3 linked regions of the Sus scrofa genome follow. The protein of the gene in region 1 purifies or fractionates together with the protein of each later gene. This does not show direct contact. Links are inferred from orthologs where the notes say so. Each region holds a gene or a part of one and is shown on either strand. Other genes may lie near its edges. The genes, in order: EIF4G1, EIF3J and USP10.

Evidence for each region.
Region 2: the proteins of EIF4G1 (region 1) and EIF3J purify together in Homo sapiens (affinity purification with western blotting; 3 studies listed by BioGRID and IntAct, with this or other methods). This does not show direct contact. The link is inferred for Sus scrofa from reciprocal best matches to the Homo sapiens genes EIF4G1 and EIF3J.
Region 3: the proteins of EIF4G1 (region 1) and USP10 purify together in Homo sapiens (affinity purification with mass spectrometry; 4 studies listed by BioGRID, with this or other methods). This does not show direct contact. The link is inferred for Sus scrofa from reciprocal best matches to the Homo sapiens genes EIF4G1 and USP10.

What each region holds. Positions count from the first base shown.
Region 1 is NC_010455.5:122,202,116-122,206,328, forward strand, and holds the start of EIF4G1 (eukaryotic translation initiation factor 4 gamma 1), read left to right. Parts: upstream 1-1,390; 5' UTR 1,391-1,543; intron 1,544-1,995; exon of another isoform or gene 1,996-2,363; 5' UTR 2,364-2,420; intron 2,421-2,637; 5' UTR 2,638-2,671; coding exon 2,672-2,731; intron 2,732-2,967; exon of another isoform or gene 2,968-3,027; coding exon 3,028-3,114; intron 3,115-3,599; coding exon of another isoform or gene 3,600-3,620; intron 3,621-4,165; coding exon 4,166-4,213.
Region 2 is NC_010443.5:127,016,390-127,020,546, reverse strand, and holds the start of EIF3J (eukaryotic translation initiation factor 3 subunit J), read left to right. Parts: upstream 1-1,282; 5' UTR 1,283-1,416; coding exon 1,417-1,465; intron 1,466-1,550; coding exon 1,551-1,654; intron 1,655-4,157. UniProt on the Homo sapiens protein: Component of the eukaryotic translation initiation factor 3 (eIF-3) complex, which is required for several steps in the initiation of protein synthesis.
Region 3 is NC_010448.4:4,040,727-4,044,890, reverse strand, and holds the start of USP10 (ubiquitin carboxyl-terminal hydrolase 10), read left to right. Parts: upstream 1-1,351; 5' UTR 1,352-1,467; coding exon 1,468-1,488; intron 1,489-4,164. UniProt on the Homo sapiens protein: Hydrolase that can remove conjugated ubiquitin from target proteins such as p53/TP53, RPS2/us5, RPS3/us3, RPS10/eS10, BECN1, SNX3 and CFTR.

The sequences.
Region 1 (4,213 bases):
AACGAATTGGCATGTAGGCAGTAATTGATTTTTATTTATAAGTTTGCTTAGGGAGAAAGAGAAATGAGAAGACCAGAGAAGGGAGCCAGCCAGTCAGACATGATAAAGTCACAGAACTCAAATGAAGAGCATCACAGAGAACACTCTAGATCTTTCATTTTTCTATGGTTCCTCCTCTATGTGTCTATTCTGCTCTCCTTTCTTTGGAGCATCAGTTACTCATCCAATGGGAATAATGATACAATCCATTTTGTAAGAAGTTGTAAGGATTGAGATCACAAGGGTCATATATTCAGAGTGACCAGTTCATCATTGGTGCCAAAGAAATTGTTTTCCTGTGAGATTATATGTGTTTGGATACAGAAGGGGGCAGATGTGGAGGAGAGAGAAGAAATAGCCTTTGCTAGGCACCTAGGCACTGTTTTAAGCACTTTCACAGGAATTAACTCCTTTAAATCCTCACAATGGTGGGTAAAAGTTCAAACTTGAGCTAGACTGCCTAGTTTCAAGTATTTCCTTTTTTTTTTTGTCATGCCCATGGCTTCCTGCAGTTTCTAATTTCTAAGCTAGGGATCAAACCTGTGCCACAGCAGTGACACCAGCCAATGCAGCTGAGCCACACAGAAACTCCAAATAGTTCCATTTTACAACCTATAAGTAAGTAGTAGAGTTTGGATTAAATTCTGGGGCTGACTAGGAGTAAGTAGATTTGACTCTAGTATGTCCCTTCAGGCAGTTTAAAATCTTTTGGCTACTGGGCAGGGAGGGGTCTTGGGATTACTTGTTCCACCACTATTTGAAGTTTGTGTGATTGCTTTTAGTTCCTCCCTGGGAATGGCCGATTTTTATTCTTTATAAAAGACAAATCTAGTAGTTCCCTTATTAAAGATCCCACGTTGTCACTGCAGCGGCTCGGGCTGCTACTGTGGCACGGATTCCATCCGAGGTCAGGGGACTTCCATATGCTGGAAGATGTGGCAAAAAAAAAAAAAAAGAGACAAATTTACTAATTCCCTAGTTAGAATGTTTCAATCCTTATTAAACATATAAACATTCAGTTTAATAAGTCTTTTATTGATCTAATCTACATTACTTTCAAAGGCTGCCTAACGTGTGTTTCTTTCCGCATTTGTACCATGATTTACTTCGGCAGGACTGAGTCTTTAATTTCAGTATTCTCAGCCCCCTGCCAGCACTTAGCCTAGCATTCAGTATGCACTCAATAAATGCCTGCTCAAAGTATGAATGAACTAAAGAATCGCGGAACTGAGTCGCAGAGGGGGATCGGTCTGGGAATTCCAAAGTTCGGGAGGGGACACGGGGGCGGGCAGTGGCTGTCACATGACTAGGCGGGGCAAATCCCATGTGCTTCGCGGCACCGGGCAAGGCTCCGCCCTCTGCGCCGGTCACGTGGGGGCGCCGGCTGCGCCTGCGGAGAAGCGGTGGCCGCCGAGCGGGATCCGTGCGGGGAGCCGGAAATGGTTGTGGACTACGTCTGTGCGGCTGCGTGGGGCTCGGCCGCGCGGACTGAAGGAGACTGAAGGTAAAGCCGCCATGTCCGGGCCCGACCCGGCCCCCCCATCCCCTCCCCCCGCATCCGCCGCCATCCGGGCCGGGACCGGCTACCCTGCGCCGCCTCCCCGGCGCCCTGGCTCCTCGGCCCAAGCCCGGGCCCCGGGCCGCCAGGGCCCGATCCCCGGCCCACGTGTGCCCGGCCTGGCCCGGCCTGGCTGCTGGGTGGGGGTGGGGGAGCGCGGGGCCGGAATATGCGGTCCCCGCGGGCTGGGAGGGCGCCGGGTTTCCCGGCTGCTAAGTGCCACCTCGGCCCGACCCGAGGAGGCCCTACGGGCGCAGGCACCGCGACTCCCGGCCCGCCGCCCCCTCCCCCCTTTGCGGCCCGGCCGCCGGGAAGTGACACGTTGTTCTTTGGCACTGGCCGGCGCTGCGCAGGGAGGGCGCAGGGGAGGGAGGCGGCGGCGGCGGGCAGGGAGGAGCCCCCGGCCCCGCCCGCCCTCCAGGCCGACCCTCACTTGCTTCAAACCGGCTCTTCTTCGGCCGCCGCCCGCCTGGCCTTTTACGGCCCGACTGCCGCTTTTCCTGGCCTCCACTCCTGGGCGGCGGCAGGCCTCGCCTCTAGCCCCGTGCGGGTGCACCCGCGGCCACCCGCGGCAGGCGTGCCTTGTGTGCCCCTGGGCCAGGCCCCGAACCCGGTGTCCCCGGGTGGGGGGTGGGGACACCACGGCCGAAGCTGCTAGCTCCGTTTGTGATCCGGGAGCCTGGTGCCAGCGAGACCTGGAATTTCCGGTCTGGTTGGTCTTGGGCCCCGCGGAGCCAGGTTGATACCCCCCACCTCCCAACCCCAGGCCCTCGGATGCCCAGAACCTGTAGGCCGCACCGTGGATTTATTCTTAACCGAGGGGGTGAGTGAGGGGCTGTTTCAGCAGATCAGGGGGGGTGGTTGGAGCTGCGGGTCTGACAAGGTGTCGGTGGGGACATAGGCTGGGTTTTATGCTCCTTCACCTTTTTGGCGATTCCGGGGCTTGTTGTGGGACCCAGACCTTGCTTCATCCCTCCCCCACTCCATTTGCCTTAAGCTTGGGTCCCTTCCCCTTTCCGAGCTCCGCTCTTTCCCAACAGGTGCTGGGGGGACCCTGATGTGGCACCAAATGAAATGAACAAAGCTCCACAGCCCACAGGCCCCCCACCTGCCCCATCCCCTGGACTCCCACAGGTAATTAGGGAGGAATTAGCAGCAACTGGGGTGGGGGTGGGGGAGACCAGGCAGCCGGGTCAGGAACAGGTTCCAACCTCTGGATTTTCCCACCCCCTTCTGTGTCAGGGCAAAGTGCAGCTTCCTGCTGCCAAATTGAGGCAGGGCCCCGGGGCTGTTCTTAGGGGCTGTCTTGGGGAGGGTATATGTGGACTGTTGAGGCTCTTGCCACAGCTCTGCTCCCCTTACTTCACCAGCTTGAGTTTCTGCCCCACCTGGGTTTCCCCTCTTGCTGAATTCTGGTCTCCCCCCTTCAGCCAGCGTTTCCCCCGGGGCAGACAGCACCGGTGGTGTTCAGTACGCCTCAAGCGACACAAATGAACACGCCTTCTCAGCCCCGCCAGGTGAGGGGCTGTGGGGAGGGGAGTAGGGGGCCTGGGTGGGAACCATGTGAAGCTTAGGCCAGTTTGGGCCTAGGATGGAAACTATGGAGGCCTTGTACCTGCCCCAACTTCCTGACAGTTGCTTTCATGCGGTTCTGCACTTTGCACTGTTGATTACTTACGGTGGCTGGCCCCTTGGAGTATGTAGTTGGTGGGGATGGCATTCCTAGGGGTCCTGGTGCCTTGGGGGCAGTGCTTTGGGCCCTGCTGCCAACTCCTGCTTTCCTGTTTTCTTTTACTGGGAGGTTGCCATTGCTCCATTCCCCATCCATCTTTCTCTTTTGGACTGTGGCAAGATAAACACTCCAGCTAGTTCTTGCCTTTCTCTGTTCCCTAAATTCTTCCTCACAAGTGGGAGAGGATTCTTGTCCTGCTTCCTTCATTTTCTTTCCCTCCTCATCACCTTGGGGATAATTCTTTTCTTTCCTGTCCCCATGTGCTCTCAGGGAGGATTCAGGTCTCTGCAGGTAATACCCCATTGCTAATCCTGAACTCTCTCCGGGTCTCACCCTTACACTCTGCCCTAGTCAGGGGCTAGACTCAGTCTGGGTCCTCAGTCTGAGGCTGACCGATGCATGTTAGGGGCTAAATCTTGTGTAGTTCACATCTGGGAACTGGGAGACTGTTGCATGTTAGCGGTGAGCTCCTCAGTACCTTAGGGTGGAGCAGTGCATGCTGGGGAGTATGTTGCTGAAAAAGGCTTTACTTAGGCATGATGCATCTGGGTGTTAGGAAGCCTCTGCTGAAGGATAGCCTGGTGAGGTGATCTGAGTATGCATGGCAGGGAGGGAGTAAATATACAGAGTGCCAAGTGTATACCTGAGTTTGGAGGGCGTATGTGAGTATAAGAGGCCACTTAGCCATCACTTGGTCAAGTGAGTCTTGGAAGTGTTGGTCTTCATGCTCCAAAGCCCCTGGTACTTCTCTCCTGACTAGAGACATAGTGGAATGGCCCTTTTGCTGTCCACCTCCTCCCCTTCCCATTGCCAACTGCCTTCCTCCCTCCTGACAGCACTTCTACCCTAGCCGGGCCCAGCCCCCGAGCAGTGCAGCCTCCCGA
Region 2 (4,157 bases), on another chromosome or scaffold:
ATATCTTTTGGAAGACCATCTTTATAAAATGTGGTCTATTTGTAGACTCACTGAAAAAGATACATAAGAAATGGGGAACACTGGTTGCCACCAGAAAGAACATAATGGCTGATCATCCTATATACCCATTTGAATGAATGTTGTACCAAGTACGTATGTTACATATTCAAAACTAAGAAATTAAGAAAACAACAAAAACAAAAATATGTTTAACAGCTCACCTTTTAAAATCCTGAAGTGGAGCTCAGTGGCCCAAGCTAGGTGCAGCTTAGCTCATCTTAAACCCTTTAGTATTATAAATTTATCTTTTCAGCTTATCTCTGATTGCGCCATTCAGTCAGAACAGGGACCACAAGCATAAAAGGCACTGAACACATTTCACTTGGTTGGTCTTTAAAACTCTTTATCGGCCTCACTTACCCTCAGGTAGCCTTTCATATATCCTACCTCTCTTCTCTGCGGTTAATGCTATCCTTTTACACTAAACCTCACAATGCCTTTTTGTTGCAGTCATCTCACTGTGTCGAAATTTGTTTATATGTCTATACTTGAGTGAGCGAGGACAAGGCTAGAGCTTACGCTTAGCGCAGATCGAGTTCCGAAATTATTCTGCGAAAAGAATGAATAATGTATTGACTTCAGGGGGCTCACAGGAAGGAAAAATTCTTGAACATGGGGACTCCCTTCCATATCTTCGTGACTACCTGGAGGCAAACGTGCCAGGAGCTGACTGAACACCCTGACTGGGAAGACTGCCAGGAGCTTGGCCCTCTCTATTCGCTTCTTCCTGGCCGCCCCATGCACCACCGGCTTCCAGAGGGATCCCGCCTCGTTCCGCCAGCGACCGCACCCTCCTGGGGTCGGGGAGCCAGGCGACTGCCGCCACAGGCGGGCTCGGCGTTCAGAGCCCACTTCTGAGTGCCGCGTGGAGAGGCTGCGGGTTTCCTTGGGACCAGCCAGAGGCCAAGGGTGGCGATCCATGTGAACAGAAGGAGGGCGCACCCGACCGGTCCGGGCGGGTATGGGTTAGGATGGCAAGGGCAGGAGAGAGCCAAGCACCGGGAAAAGGACTGCCCTGCTAACTTCGCCGCACTTACATTTTTCTCCCCAGGGCGTAGGGTGGCTGCCTCCTAGCCTCTTCCTCTCTCCCCACCCCACTAGCAGACAGGACCACCCTGCTGGGTGCGTGGGGTACTGGACGCTCCGCCTCGCCCACCGCGTTCCACGCCCCCTTCCCGCCCGCGAGAGCATCGCCGCCGCCGCCGCCGCCAGAGGGGGAGGAGCCTGGGCCCCGGCGTTAAGTCAGCCACAGTCCCAGCCTGCCCCGCGCCGGCAAACGAGAGCAGATCCAGTGACTCACTGCCGCGCTAACTCCTCGCTCGCTGTCGCCTCACACACGCTCATACCCGGCGCGAGATGGCGGCGGCGGCGGCGGCAGCAGCGGCGGGGGACTCCGATTCTTGGGGTGAGGAGAAGTTCCGGGGGTAGGCCGGGGCTGGCGCCAGCCCCACGCCCAAGCAAGCTTTAACACAGCTCGCTCTCTTCCGTAGACGCAGACACGTTCTCCGTGGATGACCCAGTGCGGAAGGTGGGGGGCGGCGGCACCGCCGGCGGGGACCGCTGGGAAGGCGAGGACGAGGACGAGGACGTCAAGGTGGGTGCGGGTCGGGGCTCCGGCCAGCGCGGGAGCGAGCTGGCGCCGTCGCGGGCCGGGGTGCTCGCCGAGGGGCGGTCGGTCGGACGGACTCTGGGCCCAGAGGCGCCGCCCCGGCCTGCGGGCTGTGGGTCTAGGCGCAAGCGTAGGGCCTGGTGGTGCCCTGTTCCCCTCGCTCGCCGGCCCTGGGGGCCGGAGGCCGATAGCGTGGTCTCTCGGATTTCCTTGGCGAGGACGCCAGCCCCATCCCTTTGAAGGACCGCACTCCGGCCTGGATCCCACTCGCCAACTGGCGACGGGAGGTGACAGCAGAGGCTGGACCGGCCCACGTGCAAACTTCGCGGTCCGGAGCTGCTCTTCAGTGGTGAGACTGGGAAGTTGAGGATGGAGCCTCTGGCTTATCCCATATGGAAAGTCTTGCACCCCATTGCTTTTTCGAGCTCAGGTTTCCCCAGGCCAGTAACTCATTTACATCCCAAGCTTCATTTGAAGAGTTTGTTCGAGCTGTTAGAGGAGTGAAATATTATGATTTAATTTCAGCCACCTTTTTTTCCCCCCACGCAAATGAAAGAATTTTTAGCTTCCTTTCTCCCACCCTATGGTAAAAGGGTGAACTGAGTATTGAGATAGCTAGCAGTTAGTGGTCAGAAACCTGGGTAGTCCACACAGCGACCTGAAAAATGGAGAGGTTTACAGAGTGAGTTTTTAATAACCTACACACGAAAGCATAAGGAAATAATGAAGATTTGAAGGTTGGAGAAGACGAGGGAGACAGTGATTTTTTGTGTGTTTTTCCTATGCCTTATAGATTTGAACCCAACTTACTCTCGCTGTTTGTTTATGAAAACTCCTGGGGGCTCATCATAAGACTTCAGATGACATTATGACTACTGCGTTTTGTTTTTGTTTTTGTTTTTGTTTTCAAGTATCTACAGAGTCTCAAGGGTGGAATGTTAAGACTTATTAACTAAGTTCTCAAATACTTCATTTTTGTGAAAATCAAGTTTTGTATGATTTGGAAATTTTTTTTATGGTTTTGATTCATTTGGTGAATGTTTACCCTTCAGCTCACTTTGACAACCCTACAAGTCCTTCTGCTTGTGTTGAAAAAAATTTAAGCTAGATAATCACTATGAGCTTCATATTAATATTGCCTTTTTTAGATTGTACCCTTTTCTCCTGAATCTGATGAGGTGGATGTTCAATTCATTGAATTGCCTGAGGTTCAAGTATGATTTGAGTTTTGCAGACCTTGGGATTAATAAATGAGCAATAGTATTGTGAAGATACTTAGATGCTTCATTTACATGTTGTGTAGACATGAGAATGGATTGTGTTAGCCTCATTGCAAGATACTAGTTACCTCCCTACGTGGTGGCAGATTTTCTGTCTTGAACCTTTAGTTCAGATTTATCCTTTTACTTTTTCTGTGCATAGTGGTTGTAGGAGTTAAGACATCTGTTAAGAAAATTAGGAATGAGTGAGAAGAAACAACTAGAGAAATCAGGAAAGAATTACCAAAATACGAAGTTTGAATAAAGTAGTCTGGATTAATATCATGAGGTAGCGTGCCTGAAATTATTTGATATAAATGCCATCAATCCTGATAAATACAGTTCTAGCCACTTGAAATTAATTTTGGACATTTTTAATTGGTGAGGGACCATAAAGATCATCTTGTCCAGTCATTTTTAAGTGCAGAATTTCTTTCTTTTATACAAATAGCGTACTTCTTTTACAGAAACTTTGATGTAGATCTTGGAATAGAAAGCTGAACTTGTTCATTTTATTTCCATGTTGAAATATTGGTTTATTTCTGTTTAGTTTCTCCAAAGATTTCTAAGATAAGGTATCCATGGAGTAGTTTGATTCCTGGAATTTGGAATCAGACAGACCAGAATCTATGCTGTTGTCTTGACATTTTCTATAAAGAATTTTTAAATTTTTTAAGTTTCCCAGTCTTCACAGAAGCTACCTCAGGAAATTATTTTGCATTTTCTATTTTTTGGGGGGTTTTGTTTTTGTTTTTTGCTTTTTTTAGGGCTGCACCTGCTGCATATGGAGGTTCCCAGACCTTTGTTCCCAGACTAGGGTTCTAATCAGAGCTGTAGCTGCGGGCCTACACCACCACAGCCACAGCAACACCAGATCCCAGCCGAGTCTTCGACCTACACCACAGCTCATAGCAATGCCGGACTCTTAACCCACTGAGCGAGGCCAGGGATTGAACCCACAACCTCATGGTTCCTAGTCAGATTCCTTTCCACTGTGCCACTACGGGAACGGGAACTCCTTTTGCATTTTAAATGAGATAATGTGTCAAGCATTAAGCATAGTTACCTGGCACTTGGTAGGCGTTCAATAAATGTTAATTCCGTCTCACTTGAGGATGTAGTCTTAATTTTTCTGGTTAATGGAAAATTTGTTAAGGCTGTGTAGATCTAGTAGCTGAGGGTTATTTTTGTGCCACAGTTTGTGGTTTATTAAGCTTGAAGGAGTAAGT
Region 3 (4,164 bases), on another chromosome or scaffold:
AGCTCACTGCAACGCTGGACCCTTACCCCAATGAGTGAAGCCAGGTGGAACCTGCCTCCTCATGGGTGCTAGTCGTGTTTGTGAACCTGCTGAGCAACAGTGGGAACTCCAAGGCATTCTATTTTTGAAAAGACCAGGCCCCTTGCCTTATGGAACCTGGTAATGGATTTACTGTTGATCTCCTCTGCTTAGCAGTGGAGTCTGGAGACTAGCCGCTGTATTCCCTGAGCACATGAGAACAATAATGGAGTCACAGTAGCTAATTGTTATTGAGGGTTGGATCTCTTGGCCAGTGGGCTCACTCTCATTTGATAGTCACAGAAATCTTATGAAATTAGAAATTTTATTGGGATTTCCCCGTTGTGGCTCATCGGAAGCGAATCTGACTAGCATCCGTGAGGACTCAGGTTCGATCCCTGGCCTCGATCAGAAGGTTAAGGATCCAGCGTTGCCGTGAGCTGTGGTGTAGGTCGCAGATGCAGCTCACATCTGGCGGGGCTGTGTCTGTGGCTGTGGCTACAGCTCCGATTTGACCTCTAGACTGAGAACCTCCATATGCTGTGGATGCGGCCGTAAAAAAAAAAAAAAAAAAAAATTAGTTTCACTCACAGGTAAGGAAACCAAAGGTTTAGGAATGGGAATTAACTCGCCTGAATCACTCAGCTCGAGAGGGTCAAAGCCGGTGGCGGTAAACTGCGTGGTCAGGTAGGGGTCACTGTTTCTTGAGTCAATGACCCGAAACTGGTCTGTCTGGATACTTGCACGTATGTGTGTGATGGGTGACACTTAGTGCTCACTATTTGTCAGGCCTCAATCATAGGCGCTTTTATGTGTCCGTCCTTTTTTTTTTTTTTTTTTTTAAATCTCTAAATATATTCTCCCATGCCTATGGCACCTCAGTGTTTGGGTAATGAACGAAAAGTGAATAAGTGAATGAATGGACGGATGTGACCGCCGTAAGCCGAGACTACTCTGAGGTCTTCGGCCCTCAAGTCGGGGACCCGGGCCCAGGGAGGCCCTAGGCTTTGGCGGCGGGGGCCGAGGTCCGGCCGCGGCACTCGGGCTCCGGCCCTCCTCGCCCGCGCAGCACCCAGGTGGCCTCCGGGCAGGTGAGCAACCCAGGCCGACTGGGCGCTTTGGCGTAGTCAGCTCTGCCCGCTAGGGTTTTCTCTTCCCGCCGCGCGGCCCGCCCCGGAGCTCCCGGTCCGCCGCTGACCCGCCGGCCTCCGCGGAGGTGCGCGGGCCCCGAGTCCACCCGGGCCGGGTTCCCGCGTTGCACGCCCACCTGTCGGCCGCGCATGCGCAGCGCGCGCCCGGCGCGCCGCCTCCCCGCGCCCCGCGGCGCGCGGTCAGTGCGCAGGCGCGGCGGCGGATGCGAGTGTGTATGTGCGGGCGAGAAGATGGCGGCGGCGGGGGAAGCAGCGTGAGGACTCGGACGGGCGCCGAGGCTCATTGAAACGGGCCGCCATGGCCCTCCGCAACCCGCAGGTAGCCGCTGGCCGGCGCTCTCGGCTGGAAGGCGTCCCGAGCGGCGGGCGGGCCGGCCCCGGGGCTGGTGGGCGGGCGCCCGCACCCTGGCCCGAGCGAGCGTGTGGGAGTGGGGGAGGGCGCCGGGACATGCTGCCCGGGACTAGGCCCCGGGCCTCCCGCCGCCTCCGCGCCTCGGCCGCCGGCAGCCCGGCCGGCCCGGCGCCGGAGCCCGCCGGGCCCCCGCCTTGGGGGAGCGGCGAGGAGGGGGCGCCGGGGCCCGCCTGGAGCGGGCGTGTGGGGCGCGAAGGGGTTAACCTCGGGGCTGGCCCGCGGGCCGAGCCGGCGGTGCAGCCGGGGCCCTCGTCGCCCGGAAAGGCAGCCTGGGGCCTCGGGAGGCCCCCGAGGCGGCAGAACCTTCCACGCCCTCAGCTCGCTTCTCGGCCCGGAGCGAATCACCAAGATTTGGGGGTGGCCGGATTTCCCCTGTGCCCCCCAGGGTTGCTTTCGCAGCTTGATCAACCCCTGGGTGGGGGGGCTTGTCGGTTTTCTGGCTTTTAGATTCAAGTCACTAAGAAGCAGCTTAAGGTTACAGTTGCAAAGAAACTCGAAATAACTCGCCGGGACCGCACTTTGACTTGCCTTTGAGTGACTTCTTTTGCACGAATCCCTCTCCGCCAAGCTGACACTCCTAACGCACCCTGTCAGAGCCGTGGGTCAGGCTTAGGGGTTGTTTATAATAATCCCGTGGTGGAAAGAAAGAGTAAAACGCCGCTTTCAAAAGGGAGACTTGTGTGTTGAGTTGAACTTTTTTCCCCCTCTCCCACTCCCCGAAATTCAGTGAATTTGAGTAAAAATGGGCATGTGGTATTAACTTGTCCGGCTGGCTGTAGACCGCCGATTTGTCGACTTTTAATCCTAGGAGTTATTGCGAAGTTTCCATCATCTATCTCATTGTGCTTTTGTATTAAATCCGCGAGCATGAAACAAAGTAAGTATTGGAAGGCTGGCGACCAGTAAATCATAACCCTGTATAAGCAAGTGGCTTTTGTTGCCTCTTTGGAAATGGAGTCGATTTTAATAACTTGTAACTGATGCGTGTTGTGGAATTTAAAGTGAGGAAAATTGCAGAAAATTAAATTTTACAGGAACCTGCAGTTTTGTGAAGTTTTTGGCACTTGAGTGTGCTCTCCAACTTGCTGCCTTTAACTTTCTGCACTTGTACATCAACTTTTAAAGTAGTTCTTTGCATAAAAGAAGGGCTTCGTTGCATAAGTTTTTCAAATGTGTAATTGGAAGATTTTTTTTTTTTCCCCTTAAGACATTTGGTATTTGCCTTTCTCTTAAAGTAAATAGCTGCAAAATAGGTAAAGGTTCATTATGCACGAATGGGTAATATGATATTCATAGTGATTTTAGAATGGGGAAATCGTGTTTAGGCAGAATTTACTTGCACTTTTTTTTTCCTTTTTGATGGCGCTGGAAGCAGCGGGGCAGTTCCCCCGACAGGGATGGAACCTGTGCCACAGCAGTGACCCAGCTGCTGCAGTGACAAGGCCAGATCCTTAACCCTCTGTGCCACAAGGGAACTCCATCACTTCTGTTAAGCACCAGTTGCAGTGCAAAATTGATTGAAGTGTTAATGAATGGAGATAATCTGTAAACTAGATTGTAGTTTCTTTTGCTTTCATTGTCCTGGTATTTATGTTTGTTTGTTTGTTTTTTGTGATTTCTTGGGCGCTCCCGCAGCTTATGGAGGTTTCCAGGCTAGGGGTCCAATCGGAGCTGTAGCCACCGGCCTGCGCCACAGCCACAGCAACTCGGGATAAGACCCAAGTCTGCGGCTCACAGCTCATGGCAACACTGGATCCTTAACCCACTGAGCAAGGCCAGGGATCAAACCCACAACTGCATGGTTCCTAGTTGGATTCATTAACTACTGCGCCACGACGGGAACTCCAGGTATTTATGTTTTATACAGCAGTATTGCTTGTACACATCTTTCTCGAAAATTGAGTGGCAAAGTAAGGTAAACTTAAATGTTAGCAACACTTTGGGTTTATTCTTTTAAAGTATGATTTAAATACTTTTAAATTCTAGCTTGGAGAAAGTAGGAAAGAGTATAATTTCTTGTATTTCTTTTTTTTTTTATTATTCTTAATTCTTTTTGAAAGAACAGTAGTGAAGGAGTTTCTGTCGTGGCGAGGCAGAAACGAATCCAACTAGGAACCGTGAGGTTGCTGGTTTGATCCCTGGCTTCCCTCAGTTGGTTAAGGGTCCGGTTGCCTTGAGCTGTGGTGTAGGTCGCACGAGGCTTGGATCCCCCATTGCTGTGGCTGTGGTGTAGGCCGGCAGCTCCAGCTCCAGTTGGACCCCCGGCCTGGGAACCTCCATGTGACTCGGGTGCAACCCTAAAAAGACAAAAAAAAAAAAAAAAAAAAGAGAATAGTAGTGAAAACATCGATAACATGGTTGAATGATTGGATCCTGCTTGAGTCAGGCTGAATATTTTAAAGAATTTATTTTATTCAGTTACCTGCTGTCTGAGGGTCTGCAGCCTTAATGGCCGCGTGTTGATGGAGCACTCAGTCTGTGCACAGCACCATCAGACTGCCGCGTGGTACCTGTTTATGATTGGAGATGACAACCACAAATTAACAGTAGCGGGCCTATTTTAAAATTAGCTTGTTATGGTTA